3 linked regions of the Solanum lycopersicum genome follow. The protein of the gene in region 3 binds, or shares a complex with, the protein of the main gene of each other region. Links are inferred from orthologs where the notes say so. Each region holds a gene or a part of one and is shown on either strand. Other genes may lie near its edges.

Region 1 (4,704 bases), on a different chromosome or scaffold from region 3:
TACAAGACACGTATAGTGGATCTTCATAAGAATGATTTCTCTAGTTGTTAACATAATCTCGACATACTGAAATTTATGGGGTTGATAATGTTATACTGAAACACAGTATGGTCGGACTCTAATCAGACTCCTCATAGGGCGATGGGAAAACATTCATAGACCTCCATCAAAGTCTTCGCTATGGTGTACATCTGTCCTCTTCTCTTTTCTCTTTTCTTTGTTTTTTCTACCTTCTGTTTAATAATTTCATACAGCTTAGCATAGTTTACAGGTACAACGTAATCTCGTGACAGGTCAAACTTTTTTCCCCAATTCTATACAATTTTTTTTTTTTTTTGGTTATTGTCCAAAGGAACTTGGTAAAGTTTGAAAATTATTCCGTCTTTAGTTTGACTGGTGGGTGGAGGGTGACAGGGGGTGCATGTAAGTTCTTTTATGAGAAAGAATGATTTGATTACTCACTAAAAAACTTCAGTGCTTGCTACGAGTAGCAGTTCCTTGGAATGCGTTCTCAACTCAGTCATGCTATGCTATTAGGACCTTCTCTTTTGGTCAAATTTATATGAAGTAGCTCAAAGTACAGATAGTATTTCTTATGGTAAAGTGACCAGATGATGTTGACTGTTCCTTATCATCTTCTTTAGGCTTTGGAACCTATTGTCCATGGACGAGGACGGAAAGAAGATTCCTTGGATGAGATTTATATGGGGGTGTATGAGAATCTATTGTATGCTCGTAAAACTAAGCCTGTGGAAGGTACAACTTTGGATGCTCTTATGTAGTATTCTAGTTCAATTTACTGTTGCTTGTTTTCTTGTGCTCTCTAGATCACTAAAAGAATGTGCCAATTTCTATGAATCATCTGGTCATATTCCTATCTTTTTCTTTCTGGCATTCAGGAGCTCAATGGACGGGGATAGTGACAACTATTGCCGTGGAGATGCTAAAAGCTGGGATGGTGGAAGCTGTTATTTGTGTTCAGAGGTATGGCTTGCATCCAATTTGGTTAAAAATAATTTAGTTCTCCCTCCTGGTTAATTTCACTGTACATGAGTTATGCACTTGAAATTTTGGTTTCTTTCTTCTACTTATTACCCAGCAATTCATGGACTCTTTACCTTCTTTTTTTTATGTTGTTTAGTGATCCAGAAGATCGATTTGCTCCTCGACCTGTCCTGGCAAGGTTTGTGACTGGGAATTCCTGAGCTATTTGTATTCATGTTGATTTTTTACCTGTTAATTTAACCATTTCGATCTTCAACTTTAATTTTATGTTTCTAATAGGACTCCAGAGGAAGTTATAGCAGCTAAAGGTGTTAAGCCGACACTGTCTCCTAATCTAAATACTCTTGCCTTAGTTGAGGTTTCTTCTTTCACTTCCATTATCATCAGAATCTTTGATTGTTCTGTTGTCATCAATGCATTTATAATCTGTGTAACTCTATTGAATTCTTAATGGAGCATGTTGTCATGGATTGAAGATGCCATATCTCTCCTCAATAGGTAATTGGAACTTGTGTAGCTATGCTTTCTTATTCTTCACCACACCACCAAATTAGCTTTACTATCACCCCCCCTCCCCCCGTCAGACCACCACAATCTAATACTGTAATTGCCCCAATCGGGGATTTTATTAAGATAAGCTCTTTTGATTTTCTGATTTGTTCCATATTATGGTTCGAGCTGAATTCCTTTCCTGACAATTTCAGAGTCTTTTTGCCAAATTTTTCCTCTCTATCCATTTGAAGGTCGTAGGTTATTTTTTGACTTTATTTTAACTATTTGAGCTTATTTCTCCCCAAATGCTTTCTCCCTTTCTTTTGGTAAGCATCAACCATCTGCATATCACACTTGTAAGGGTAGGCTTCTTGTTATTTCTTTTCATAACAATGCAATCATGGAATTTCACACTTTCTAGTCGTGCATGCTCTAATGCATTAAAAACTGGGCTTTAAGAGATTCCAGTTTTCACTGAGGATTGTCACACAAGTGTATAGTATAACTTGTAGTTCAAATGTTGAAGTAAGCAGTATTGTTTCCTGGAAACAGGCAGCTGGTGTAAAGCGCCTTCTCTTCTGCGGGGTTGGCTGCCAAGTTCAAGGTATCCAAGTTGTTATGATCTCTTCATCTCTGCTTCAAACTTGATGTTGTCATTACAATTTACATCTCTGTATTTTAAGCAGAACAATTTCCTAACTTGCAGCTTTAAGATCAGTGGAGCAATATTTGAATCTGGAAAAACTTTATGTTCTAGGCACTAACTGTGGTGAGTAGTCGGTGGTATTCATAGACTCCTTTCCTACATCTTTGATCAATTCTAATATAACTACCAACTGCTTGAAATTTGATTATGTTTGTAATTACGTGTGTTTGGAGATCTAATTTTGATCTTTTTTTAAATTAAATAACAAAAAGTTTGATCTATTAACATCACCAGTAGGAGTACTTGTTTGTTGTTAGTATCTCAAAAAAGAGTCAACTTAATTTTTTCAGTTTGTCCACCACAGAAGCAGGGAGAGAAAATAAGACATATAGTAAGTGGACAAACTGGACAAAGATTCAATGGAATCTTTTATGATACTCCCTCTGTTTCAACTTGTTTGTGTGGTTTTTACTTGTCACAAAGTTTAAGAAAGTAAAGAAAACTTTTTGAATTTCGTGGTCTTAACTCTTAAACTATAAATATGTAGAATGTACCAAAATACCTCTTAACTCGTGGTTTCAAACAGGCTATGTGGAAAGTTGGAATTATAGAGTTTCAGGAAAGGGAAAGAAATATTTTTTTCGAAACGGACTGAAAAGGAATAAGACAATTAATTGAAATGGAGGGAGTATATAGTAAGAGGGATGCTCTATAAACTGCTTTTTATTAGAATCTCCTTTCCCCTCTTAGATATTTTTAGTCAATATAGACCTATACTAACTGTCATTTCTCAACAGTGGATAATGGACCACGAGAAGGTTTAGATAAATTTCTGAAGGCTGCTAGCAGTGAACCTGAAACAGTTCTCCACTATGAGTTTATGCAAGACTACAAGGTGTGCTACTGTTATATTTCTTCCATAAAGAAAAAAAAGTAAGCTCCTGTTACTCTTTTATGACAAGCTGAGCTTCATTGTGAGACAACTTATGCATAACCTCTGTGATCTTGGAATTCTATCCATTCAAGTATAAGAACAAGGAAACCAACTTCTACATTCTGTGTTTGTCATGACGATATGTTTTCTGCTTCTGTTGTATTCTAAAACATCAGTAAACAGCCTTTCTTAGTCTGATAACTAGGGTGCTTTTCTAGAATATGTTTTCATTTGGTTGGTGAGGTAAGTTCACTCATGAAGATGCACTTCAATATATCATATTGTCTCCATCCTGATAAATTTTATATGACACATCTTTATTTTGGGCGTACAAAAATCTTTGACACCATCTTACTAACAATATAACTTTATACAACTTCATCAGTTTCTCAAATTTTAATATGTTTGAATAGTCAAATTATTAAGGTTTGATTTGGCATTTCTATGTCAACCTAATTTCGTTTACAAAAATATTTTAAAATTTTCCTCAACTACTACCTATAAAATACACAAATCAAATTAATATCTCAAGTACCATGCCTCGTCCGCTGGTGTCGTGTTGAATTTGATGGAGGGTTACTATCCTTTGTTGGATCAGAAATTTACCAATAAGTAGGATCTTGCAAATGAGAAAGACTAAATTAAGCTCACATGTGCTTCATCACCTTATAGATGAAAACATTTGACAGTTAATCCTGTAAACCATATTATAGCTTTCTTCTTTTACTATGATTTAAAGGATATACTATTGAATTGCATGTGATAGTTTTCTAATCAGTTGAAGCATCTGTCTAAGCTCTACATTTCAACAGGTCCATCTGAAGCATTTGGATGGCCATATTGAAGAGGTAAAATAGCATCTTCTTTTTCGTATCTTTTGTTTTATTTGAATGCTGTTTATTCAGATCTATATTTCACTAAGCAGGTTCCCTATTTCTGTTTACCAGCAAATGACTTGGTTGATGTTATTGCACCATCTTGTTACAGGTATTTCAATTGCTTATTATTGATTTACTGAAGCCTTTAAACAATATCTGCATACTTAACCTGTAGACTTTTTGGGTCAGAGGTCGGTGGTGGACAAGTCTGAATATAATTTTTTTGTTCCATCTCTTTGTGCTCATGGAAATGATTCTTTCTTTCCCTCTATGAGTTGATCCAATTAGTCAATCAACTATAAATTAATCCTACATTAGTTTGGGTGGCTTTATGTATCCTCAGCATCCATTGTGCTCTGTTAGGTCAATTTTTTTCCAATATCTAATAATTCGTGTTATAAGGTATCGTCCAGCTCCCTAACCTAAAGCGGCACCGGGTTTGGACCGCAGGGAACCGTAGCAAACTAAAGATGTGAAATATCACCCTTATCCCTACGTGGATATACTAGTTTTCAACAAGAATAAAAAGACCCTTGACAAGCACTTATGCAAGCGTAGCAACAACTATGCTTCAATGACTGCATCCTATCTAGTTGGTATCACCTATATGGATATGGAAGTTTATGTGGGATGTAGTCAAACCGTCGTAGGCGACATTCTCTAAGTGAGCTACTTAGACGATCTACTGGATATTCTTTTTTAAAAAAATGTGTTAATTACTCGAAAAATTATTGCATGCCAACTATTTT
Region 2 (4,704 bases), on a different chromosome or scaffold from region 3:
ATAGTACAATAGAGAATTGGGTTGGAGTTGGTCGTCCGAAAATAGAGAACTCTATATTTGGAGAGTAAAATAGAGAATAAGGTTGGAGATGCAATAGGAGAAATTTCTTTATTATAGTTCGACAACACGTCTTCTTATGAACGGGCCAAATTTTATTTTATTTTATTTTTTGCCCAAGCACATGGATATATTTTGCTGGTAGGTAATGGTGAGACTCGAATTCATGATGCCTGTCTACTCTAAAACAAAATTGAATTGTGTGAGCTGCCTATAAGCACAAACCAATAGAGATGAAACATTTTCATTTATATATTTTAGGTCTGCAACCAGAGTACATGCCTGCAATGATTTTGTTAAGTGCACAACACTGCGCTTAGTTGCTCCATATGCTGCAAATCTGAAGATCAAAAAGAAGACAAGACATATCACTGAGAAAGACTGCGAGAGGGGCAGCAAGTGAGACTAGTGGCATTAACCTCACTAGTGACCTCCTGTATGAACTTGATAGAAATGCAATCCCCAAAATTTAAAGATCTATAAGAGATTTCAAACTCAGAAGGATCAAATCTGAAATAAACAGAGCACATTTGAAAATGAAAAATGGAAGACTGGAGCAACCAAAACAGAGAACAAATGAAGAGACGATCAGGGGCATGTCGATAATAGTTTAATACTCTAGCATGACACACTACCAATTTAGTTTCAAAGTGTGTTCCTTGATATGATAACGACACAACATCGTGTAATAAGCAAAGAAGCAGGATAGACTAGGATATTTTAGATGATATCACCTTGCTGTTAAATACTGCTGTAATATACTGGTAAACATTATAGCCACCAGTAATCATTTGCAGTCACAAGGTTTTCAAATTGGTCAGAGGATGCTTGTGTAGCAGTACGAGGATGATCATGGAATTGGAGCAGCTAAGATACTTTGAGCAGCAGGATACAAAAGTTTAATTTTGCTCGAGCAAACAACCAAATGCCTGTACCTAGAAAAGAATATTAAATTGTATAGATGATTATCATTTTATCTTTCTTGTCTTATAGCCAAACATGGGAATGAAACAAACTTGAATTTTGTCTCCCATGAATTTAACAGTTTAACTTAGCAATGCTAGGGTGAGGGAGCTGAAAACATGAAACGTATGCTTTATTTATTTTTTTCCCAATTTCGATTGCACTGTCACCCAATTTCTGCTATCGAAGGAAAAAGATGGGGGTGCCGAAAATTGGAAGTGAAACAAAAATATAACTTCTGATTCCAATTTGTTTGGCAGTCCATTTATAGAAACTCTGTTAGTAGTCTTGCCTTTCTCTGTTTCTCTCTTCCTTACAGATCATGAAAATAAAGCTGCTAAGAAATTCTAATGAGATGCACAGAAGCAGGTCAAATTCCTAGCAAATCATAACACTATGGGTGTCAGAGGAGACGGGCCCAGTCCCGGGTACTGTAAGGGGGGGATAGGGGAAGAGGCAGGTTGGACGGTTGGTCCTTCCCTGCCAGTTCGTATTTTTTCTAAGAAAAGGTAACCATTGAGAGTCATTGCCCAACGGCTACATTGACCCAAAAACCGCTATTTCAGCCCTCCCCCTCCACCACAGTTTTATTTTAACTCCCATGTTTATTAGTTACATCATGACCCTATTTCTTAACTGTAAATAACCCTCCATTCTTCTTCATTTTCCAACAATTCCCTCATTCTCTCTCCAACTTTGCTAATTATTTAAGTGGTGTCAAGTTCTTTTTGTGAATTCTTTAATAATGTGGAGCAACTTTCAAGCTTCAACATTTAATTACGGCTTATGGTTCAATGTTACCAACCACATCTAATGGTTCTGAGAATACTATCCTTATACAGATTATCCAGAAATTTCTTATCAACTGATTTATAACCTGCATTACGGTTGAACTTAATGAGTTTAAGGTCCAGTTATTAACTGATAAACTTGATGTTCTACCAAGAGGTTGGTAAAGTTAACAAAGAACTCCTGCAGTTCAAGTGGAAACTCTTAGTTGATGAACCACTGTCAACAGGAAGCAATTTGCGCATCACCTGAGACATCCATGTGACATTCTAAGATAATAGAGCAAAATAGGATACTTTTCTTGATAAATTATTCACTTCTCAAATCTCCCTTGTGAAAGTGTTCTTGCACTTGGCCCCACCTCTTCTAATACAATATGCAGAAGTTGAGTGTCACTGATAAAGGAAAAAAGATACCTGGGGGTTGGTCTTCCATCTGAGCCAGCCCCATCAATATTAAAAATATGACCTCCTCGAGGCTGATTCTGCATCAAGTTTATAGCCTGCAATAACAAATGTTAGCAAACATAGGCTAACCAACAACGAGAAATCCACAACCTAGCAATGCTTTTACCTCACGACAACATATCATCAAACCAAGAGTATTTGTAGTGACAACTTGACTGCACACAAATCGAATTCATGAAAAACTTCAATAAACAAAGACAGGACACAAGTCGAATGCAAAAGAGCTCACATTAAATCTTCATCAGAAGCTTCTGCCAGGGGTTTGAAGCTATACGCATTCGATCCTGCATTATTGATCTGCTTCATTCTCAAGAATATGTGAGAAACCAACAAAAATTAGAATATCAACATTTCAACATTATAGTTTCTCAATGACAGAAAAAATAATATAAGAATTACCACCTTGCGGTGGAGTGATAAAACAACACTTTATATCTCAACTTTAAAATACATGCACAAAGTTTTCCCATCTCATTTTTACCAGATAATTGATGTGTTAGACTATCCAAATGGAAATCATTTGAGCTATCAACATGCTAATATTTGGAGTTAATAGCTTAAATAGTCACCCAACTTATGGAAATAACTTACCAAAGTCACTGCCCCTTTTTTTACATTCAAAAAAAAACAAAAACCTATTTGGCTGCCATGTCATAATGTAACCCCATTTCAAGAAATAAAGCCATCAACAGCCTCTCTACCTCCAACCTCCAACCTCCACGAGGAAGTGGTAAGATTTATGTACATTCTACCGTCCCCCAACCTCACTTGTGAAATTTCACTGGGTATATTGTTGTTTTAAAAATAATGTCTATTTAACACATGTACCTTATACCCATTTAACCCACTCTAAGAAATGAGTCTACTTAAATGACATGAGAATAATCTAAACCCAGAACATCACTCAACACCCACAAACTTGGGCTCAAGTAACTTCACCTAATACACAAAGTAACAACTACAGATTCAACACAAAGTATAATATATCAAAATTAAATGTTATGGACCTTTATAATTATAGGCACCAACTGATAAGTAGTAATTAAAATGGTAACAAACATGTTAGAATAAGTTACATATTACACTGATAACATAATGTTAAAAAATCAGAATGTTGTGTACACATAACTTCAATGCAGAAAATATAAGACAACATACTCCCTTGCTTCTACTTAACCATTCTCTTTTGTTCCAAACCCTCATCTCCATTCCTTTAGCCTTCAGTCTATTCTCCAAAATCTCCCTACTCTTCAAAAAACAACACAAAGTTGGTGGACATGTATGATAGAGAAACGCAGGATTTCATGAACATGGAATCCTTCTCCTAAATTTTCGTAATTCGTCCAGCACCAATAAAAGACAAAGCCATTAGGATTTTTGGCAAAGAACTAGATGGTGCTCATGACTACACCGCTGCAAAGGGACCTGTTATAAAGAAAATTTAACAGGGCTGTCAAATTATCTTTGCATGTGTACAGTAATGTCGAATGATTTAGTTGAGTGAAATTTTCTTGAACTCAAGTTCATGGGTGTTGATTGATGTTCTAGGTTTACAAGATAATTTTCGTGTCATTTAAGCAGATCCATTTGTTAGGGTCAGGTTTTAATGATGATTTAATGTATGCAGGAATATTATGGAAAGTCTAAGCTATTAATTACTGAAGATTTTCAAGGACTTAATCAAAGGCAGATCTTAGATGACTTCCAAGGAAAGAAGCAAGACTCACGGAGATCACATGGAAGCAGTATCAAGTACTAATCAAGACCCAGTGAAATTACAGAAGTGGCAAAAGAGATATTTGGAAGATTAGTAAAAATAATACAACAGCAGCCTCTTGGATGAGTTGTCCCTTATTGTTGGAAAGGAAATCAATTTCCCTTATCAAGGATCAAATCCTTAGGGTTGCCCTCTCTGCTAATGAAACAACAGTCCTCATATAATCAATCATTGAAGACCAAAGACTAACATACGTTTGTATAAAGCCTCCTCAAAGTGCATTGTTCTACTCTTAACAAGCATTGTAATTCTTAAATGGTTTACTGTGTAATCAAAACAGAGAAGAGAGGAAAAATATAGTTGGTGAGGCATTGTGTCAAGAGAAAAAAAGATCGAGTGTAGACGTAGGATTAAACCTTGAGGGACTTGTACTCATCAACTATTCAAAGTACTTGCATAGAAAATCCCTTGCAACCCAAGGGGACTGGACTAAAATCCACATTGGATCCCAACCGGTATAAAAATACCCAGTGTCATTTACTTATTGTTTTATAACTTGCGTCATCATTTAATTGCCAGTCATTACAGTTGAAGCTTTATTTTAAGAGGGAACCTCTCAGACAAGGCCTCCCTACTCCAATGGGAAGTACTTCTCACACTAGAAGGTCAGAATGGGAACCTACATCAAGTCATATGGTGTAATGGTCTGGA
Region 3 (5,322 bases):
GTGGCAATGAAAGTTTGGTATTAGTGAAAATGGATCATAGGAAGAGTAGCAGATTGGAGTTCTGAGAATCGGTACCTGGCGTTTGGATAAGACAGTAGATGGCAGTGGTTGGTTGTCTGTGCTACCAAACCATTCAGGTTGACTATTGCCATGCCGTCTAAGCCAATTTCGGAATGCCAAGACGAAACGATCAGCTTGAGTAGGTGTAAATGTGAGTTTTGTATACTCTTTGTTGACATCAGTACCATTTTCTTTCGACTTTGAAAGAAAGACTTTTTCTTGACCTTGAAGAACAATCATATCCCCGTCATACACCTTATTTGAAGTCCAGTGTTCTTGCCATCTTGGAAAAACCTATTGCCAACACATCATGAAAATTCTTAGACGTTATGATAATATATTAGCATGATAATATATTGCTAACCAAATATTATTACCTGCCACCAAGCAGGCCCAGGCACTGTAAACTGGAAGAAGTTTCGAGCACTACAAACAATTGACCTGGTCTTTCCTGGTGCCATAGGTACATTAAAGGAACAAATCCATATCACCCACTTCTGATCACCCACGATTGGAAGCTTTGTGTCGATCTCTATTCTGGAAAATTTTCCAATGAGATCTTAGTCATACTATGCAAATAGTTGCAGCATGGATGGAGCTAACATTTACATATAAAACGTAATTCATACAAAGATATAAAGACATGTATACCAACAACAAAGCGAACTTCCATCTATTGATGCGCAAAGCCTTGTACAAACCATGCACCTGGTCTGGAAAGCTATACCTTAAAGAACCCGACTTGAACAGGATATAATGCCCACAACCATAAGAGTATAGATACATAATGCTACTAATGTCTCGTTTTGTTAGCAGATAACAGACTCTGTGAAGTAGGAGAAAGAGAAATGTGATGCAAGCATATCTACCTAAAGATGATTAATTTATACATGATTGCTTGCCTTGATAGTCAAGAAATTTGATCTACTTTAGGATGATGAACTTACTTATTCATTGAGTAACAAGGTGCGACAAATTTTGCAGTAATTTTTGGTTTATCATTGTTCGCACCAGCAAAACCCCAAGGTCCAGATGCCTCCATCTTGAATGGCAAGGGCTTTGCTCTGTCTCGCCTTCCAGTAACCTGTAAAATATCAACAAGTAAGTTAAGAGACATGTGTTGTTGGACACCAAGCAAGCAGCAGCAGTATCACTCTAGTAAAAATGCACATCTATATATACACCGTATTCTGTTATCTGATACATGAAGCCCTTTGCTAATAATAAAGTCGTTTAGCGACTGAAAAGATGAAAGCTCTACTTCAGATCTTTCTGAAATTTATATTTACAGATAGATACACACAACATTGTCTGTAAAGGTTATTTTAAGGATCGTCTGGCACGCTGTTCAGTATCTAGACTCCAGAGAGCCTAATCCTGTCAGCTGAATATGAAGCAACATCCAGAGTCAAAACATGTTATTCAGCATCCACACTCCGGATAGCCTAATCCTATCAGCTTCATCTTTTAAGATGGTAAGATCGAAAAACTATCCATAAATTGATAAAAGTAGCACTGAAGTCATAAGAGTGATAGTTAAGATTCCCATGGCGTACTTCTACCTATTGCTCTCCAAGTATGGCTTTTACCTAATAATTGCACAGAAAGTAAGGTTATGAAAACTTGTATAAAACAATGAGCAACACTCAAAAGCTACACCTTTATACCGTTCCAGATAAAGAGAAAATCCTCCAAGGAACGACCTTATATATGTTTTGGCCAAGCACAGCGAGCTACTTGGCTTAAGAGTTCAAAAGTTCACTTTTTTCACATGTGAAACAGTTTGAGTTCATATTTTCATGGAAATCAAAAACCAAACAACCCGTAGCTTATGAGAACTCAGAACTAACCCTGAAGACTATTCATTTTTAGCATGTAAGGATAAAACCTTAGGTCTGAAAGTGGATTCTTAACTATATTAGAAGCCAAAAAGGAATGAAAATGTTGCAAAAAATACCTTGTGGTGTGCAAAATCAATGTGAGAAGGATCAGAGACGTTCTCCATGAGAGTGTCATAGCCATAAAACAAATCACGCTGAATTGTCACAGTTGCAAACTCAGGCTTATCAAAATCTTCAGGCAACCTACAAATATCCCATTAAACAACAAATTTAAATCCCACTAAAAGTATACTCAAGTCTACCAACTATAATATCTTGATCAACGCGATAGGTAGGGGAATGGGATTCGATTCTTCAACCACACATGCAGGGCATCAACCAAGTGAGCTACCAAATCAATCTCATTATCCAGCAATAGCTTAAATAAAATACGAAGAACATATTTTAAGCAAGTCATTGTACTAAAGATAATCGATTAGTATTATAATATAAACCAAGTCACTATAGTAGAGATTAATATATAATAATATAGCATAACTTCGAACTAGTTTAATTAATTATTCAGAAACTTACATGGGCGGCTTTGTTGCCTGAGCTCTCTCCCATCCATTTTCATCAGGCCAAACAAAGAGTAATCCTTGAGAAACCATAGTAGGAAATCTAGTAGCACAAGCTCTTGGAGACTGAAAAGCTTTAGCTTCAGGTCCTTGAGATGCAGCTTGAGGTATCCTTGTACAAGAACCACATCCATTAAATGACCATCCATGATATGAACACTGCAAATCACCATTTTCATCTAATCTCCCTTCCTACAAACACCCATACATCAAAAACTTTAAAGAGGAGTGCTAAAAACACATATAAAAAGTATCCTCAAGCAAAATCGAGAAGTGGATTTGTACAGATAAAGGAGCAAGACGATGAGGGCATTTGTCATCCAAAGCAACCCACTGAGATCCAGATTTATCAAACCAGATAACTATATCACGATTCAGTAGCTGAAACGGTGTGGGTAAACTCGGGTCGAGATCTTCCACTAATGAAACTGGGTACCAATGATCTCTCCAAGAGAATTTCGACGACGAATCTTGTTCATCATTTTCTGTATCTTCAATATCACTAGATTTTGAATCTAGCTTCTCTTCTTCTTCAGTAGCTGTTGTTGTTGTTGGAGGTGCAGCTACTCTAAGAGGAGATGAAATTAGCGTATTTTTTTTCCTTGTAATTTGAAGAAAATTATGAGGTTTGAAAGGTAGTGAAGACTGTAAGGAAGATGAAATTGAAAGAATTTGAGGAGTTGGTAGTAACAGAGAAGAAACCATTATTGAGTTAATCAATGTTTTGTGTTACTAATACACATATGTTCAAGTAAAGAAGAAGAAGAAGGATTTGCGTGCAAGTTATGAACAATGTGTTTGAATTGGAATTTGATGAGTTTTGTGGTTTGTGAGGGAGGGCCCAGAAAATGAAAGCTGTGGTGGTGGTGCTTTAGGGAGAAGAAGAGACCGTGTTAACGCGGAGTGGTAAATACTTCTTTTATTTGGTTAGAGTTCTTAGGCTTGACTCATTCGAATATGGAATCGTATTTTTATTAGAGAGCTCTTTATTCTCAACGTGACACAAATTCAAATTTGATTAGGTTACACATGATAATAATTGTGAAAGTAAAGAGGAGATAAAATCAATGGTTAAATGTCAATAGCAAAATATTTCTATTACACACTTTCAACTCAAAATTTTAAAAAAATATATTTCTAACATGTGTTTGGAGTAAGGACTAAGGAGTGGAAAAGAAAATGATCTTGAAATGTCACAATATTTAGATAAGTTATTTAGTATAATTTCATAATATATCATATCGTAGCATATTACATTATATATTATTTTGATAAAAATATATTAATATATCCTATCGTTATCGATTGAATGTCATAATCAATACTTACAAGAAAATAAGATAGATCTAAGATCGAAAAAAAGATGAAATAAAATTATTAAACAAAATGAGAAGAAAGAAAAATAAAATTATAATACAGTCACACCAAATTGATGATTATACAAAATAAAAATTTTTCAATGTTATCTAATAATAAATTTAACAATACAGTACAGTAATAAAAGAGTCATTTTCTTAAAAGATTTCACCAACCAAATATGGAAAATATGTCAAAACACGCCCTAGTAGCAACAATTTTCTTCTTTGCTTTTTTTTTCTATTCATAAAAAAAAATCTAGTTCTATTCCCAATTCCCACCAATGTTTTCCTTTTCTTTTACTTGAATTTGGTATGAAAGTAAGTGCCTTCTTCCATTTAAACCAAATCATTAAAAAGAGGGGGGGAAAAAAAATTCAATTTTCCCTTTCTTTTTACCCTCATTTTCAAACTTCTTACTGAAAATTCTAGCCCCGTTCCACGCAGCATATTACATATTGTTGTTTCTGAACAATAAAGCAACATCACACTTACATATCTGAAAATCTCTAAAAGAACAATTTTTCTTGAAACAGTAGTGTCCAAGCTAGATAGGACGCTCCTCGATCACACTCTCAAACATGCAAATTTCCTCCAGAGTTTTCGATAACAATGGTGTCCAGGCCAGCTAGGGTGCTCCTGGATCACTCTCAAACATGCTAATTTCTCCTGAGCCAGTTTCAACAGACTCTCATTATTATCTCTTTTCATTGAATAGAAAGAAAAAGGGGAAATCTAGAGTGACTTCAATAACTAGCAAAACTAATATCTAATCAAGAAAGATGTTATTTCTTAGGGTATGTTTGATGATCAGGTCCAATATCACGCGATCCCGTGTTGATGTAAGGGCCACGAAATGTCGCCTGGGGTGGCAATGGCTTTGATGAATCAATGACTGGAGTTGCCCTTGATGATCTTGACCTGAATTGAAACAATGAATTAGCTTACAATTAAGCAAAACAATATGAAAGATCACCTCTTTATTTATTTGACAAGCAATGAAGTCTTGCTTACGCCATGTAAAACGGAAAGGATAAGCCAGCAGATGCAAAGACTAGCAAGCCTGTGGCAACAATGACATTGCGTTTCCGAGACATCAAGTGAGATGAAGTAGGATGTTTAAGTATCTAACAACTGAAAAAAAGAAAAAGATGAGGAATAAGTGACAGCCGGAAAAGAAATCCAGGAATGAAAACCATTAAACTTCAGTCACAAGTTACAACTCTATAAGAATATTTAAACATGCAGTATATCTTTTAGAATCTTGCTCAAAGCAATATGATTTTGAGGCAAAATACTATCTTCCAGAAAACCAAAAGAATTAATGTCTACACGTAACAGTTCAAAGTTTCTTTAACAATATTCACACGGATGAAGAGATATCAAAGACAGCATGAATAATAGGATTACGTTTGGGCACACCTCAGTACATCTTTCTGCTCTACATAA

Evidence for each region. Proteins that work in one complex are often made in the same cells at the same time.
Region 1: lethal leaf spot 1-like protein (region 3) and coenzyme F420 hydrogenase_dehydrogenase beta subunit-like share a complex: the UniProt entries of both Arabidopsis thaliana proteins name them as parts of the SGR1-CCE-LHCII complex. The link is inferred for Solanum lycopersicum from reciprocal best matches to the Arabidopsis thaliana genes ACD1 and HCAR.
Region 2: lethal leaf spot 1-like protein (region 3) and chlorophyll(ide) b reductase NOL, chloroplastic share a complex: the UniProt entries of both Arabidopsis thaliana proteins name them as parts of the SGR1-CCE-LHCII complex. The link is inferred for Solanum lycopersicum from reciprocal best matches to the Arabidopsis thaliana genes ACD1 and NOL.

What each region holds. Positions count from the first base shown.
Region 1 is NC_090808.1:67,932,000-67,936,703, reverse strand, and holds part of coenzyme F420 hydrogenase_dehydrogenase beta subunit-like, read left to right. Parts: intron 1-644; coding exon 645-756; intron 757-899; coding exon 900-984; intron 985-1,141; coding exon 1,142-1,183; intron 1,184-1,284; coding exon 1,285-1,363; exon of another isoform or gene 1,364-2,049; coding exon 2,050-2,101; intron 2,102-2,203; coding exon 2,204-2,266; intron 2,267-2,940; coding exon 2,941-3,038; intron 3,039-3,889; coding exon 3,890-3,925; intron 3,926-4,002; coding exon 4,003-4,064; intron 4,065-4,704. UniProt on the Arabidopsis thaliana protein: Probable iron-sulfur flavoprotein that converts 7-hydroxymethyl chlorophyll a to chlorophyll a using ferredoxin as a reducing equivalent. Catalyzes the reduction of a hydroxymethyl group to a methyl group. Belongs to the chlorophyll catabolic enzymes (CCEs).
Region 2 is NC_090804.1:48,922,975-48,927,678, reverse strand, and holds part of chlorophyll(ide) b reductase NOL, chloroplastic, read right to left. Parts: intron 2,577-4,704; coding exon 2,506-2,576; intron 2,432-2,505; coding exon 2,383-2,431; intron 2,312-2,382; coding exon 2,226-2,311; intron 398-2,225; coding exon 340-397; intron 1-339. UniProt on the Arabidopsis thaliana protein: Required for chlorophyll b degradation. Chlorophyll b, chlorophyllide b, pheophorbide b and pheophytin b can be used as substrates. Belongs to the chlorophyll catabolic enzymes (CCEs).
Region 3 is NC_090810.1:57,602,350-57,607,671, forward strand, and holds the start of lethal leaf spot 1-like protein, read right to left. Parts: upstream 3,313-5,322; 5' UTR 3,224-3,312; coding exon 2,804-3,223; intron 2,711-2,803; coding exon 2,475-2,710; intron 2,145-2,474; coding exon 2,018-2,144; intron 1,145-2,017; coding exon 1,008-1,144; intron 598-1,007; coding exon 438-597; intron 355-437; coding exon 76-354; intron 1-75. Other genes in the region: uncharacterized protein, read right to left, coding at 4,659-4,794, 4,888-4,970. UniProt on the Arabidopsis thaliana protein: Catalyzes the key reaction of chlorophyll catabolism, porphyrin macrocycle cleavage of pheophorbide a (pheide a) to a primary fluorescent catabolite (pFCC). Works in a two-step reaction with red chlorophyll catabolite reductase (RCCR).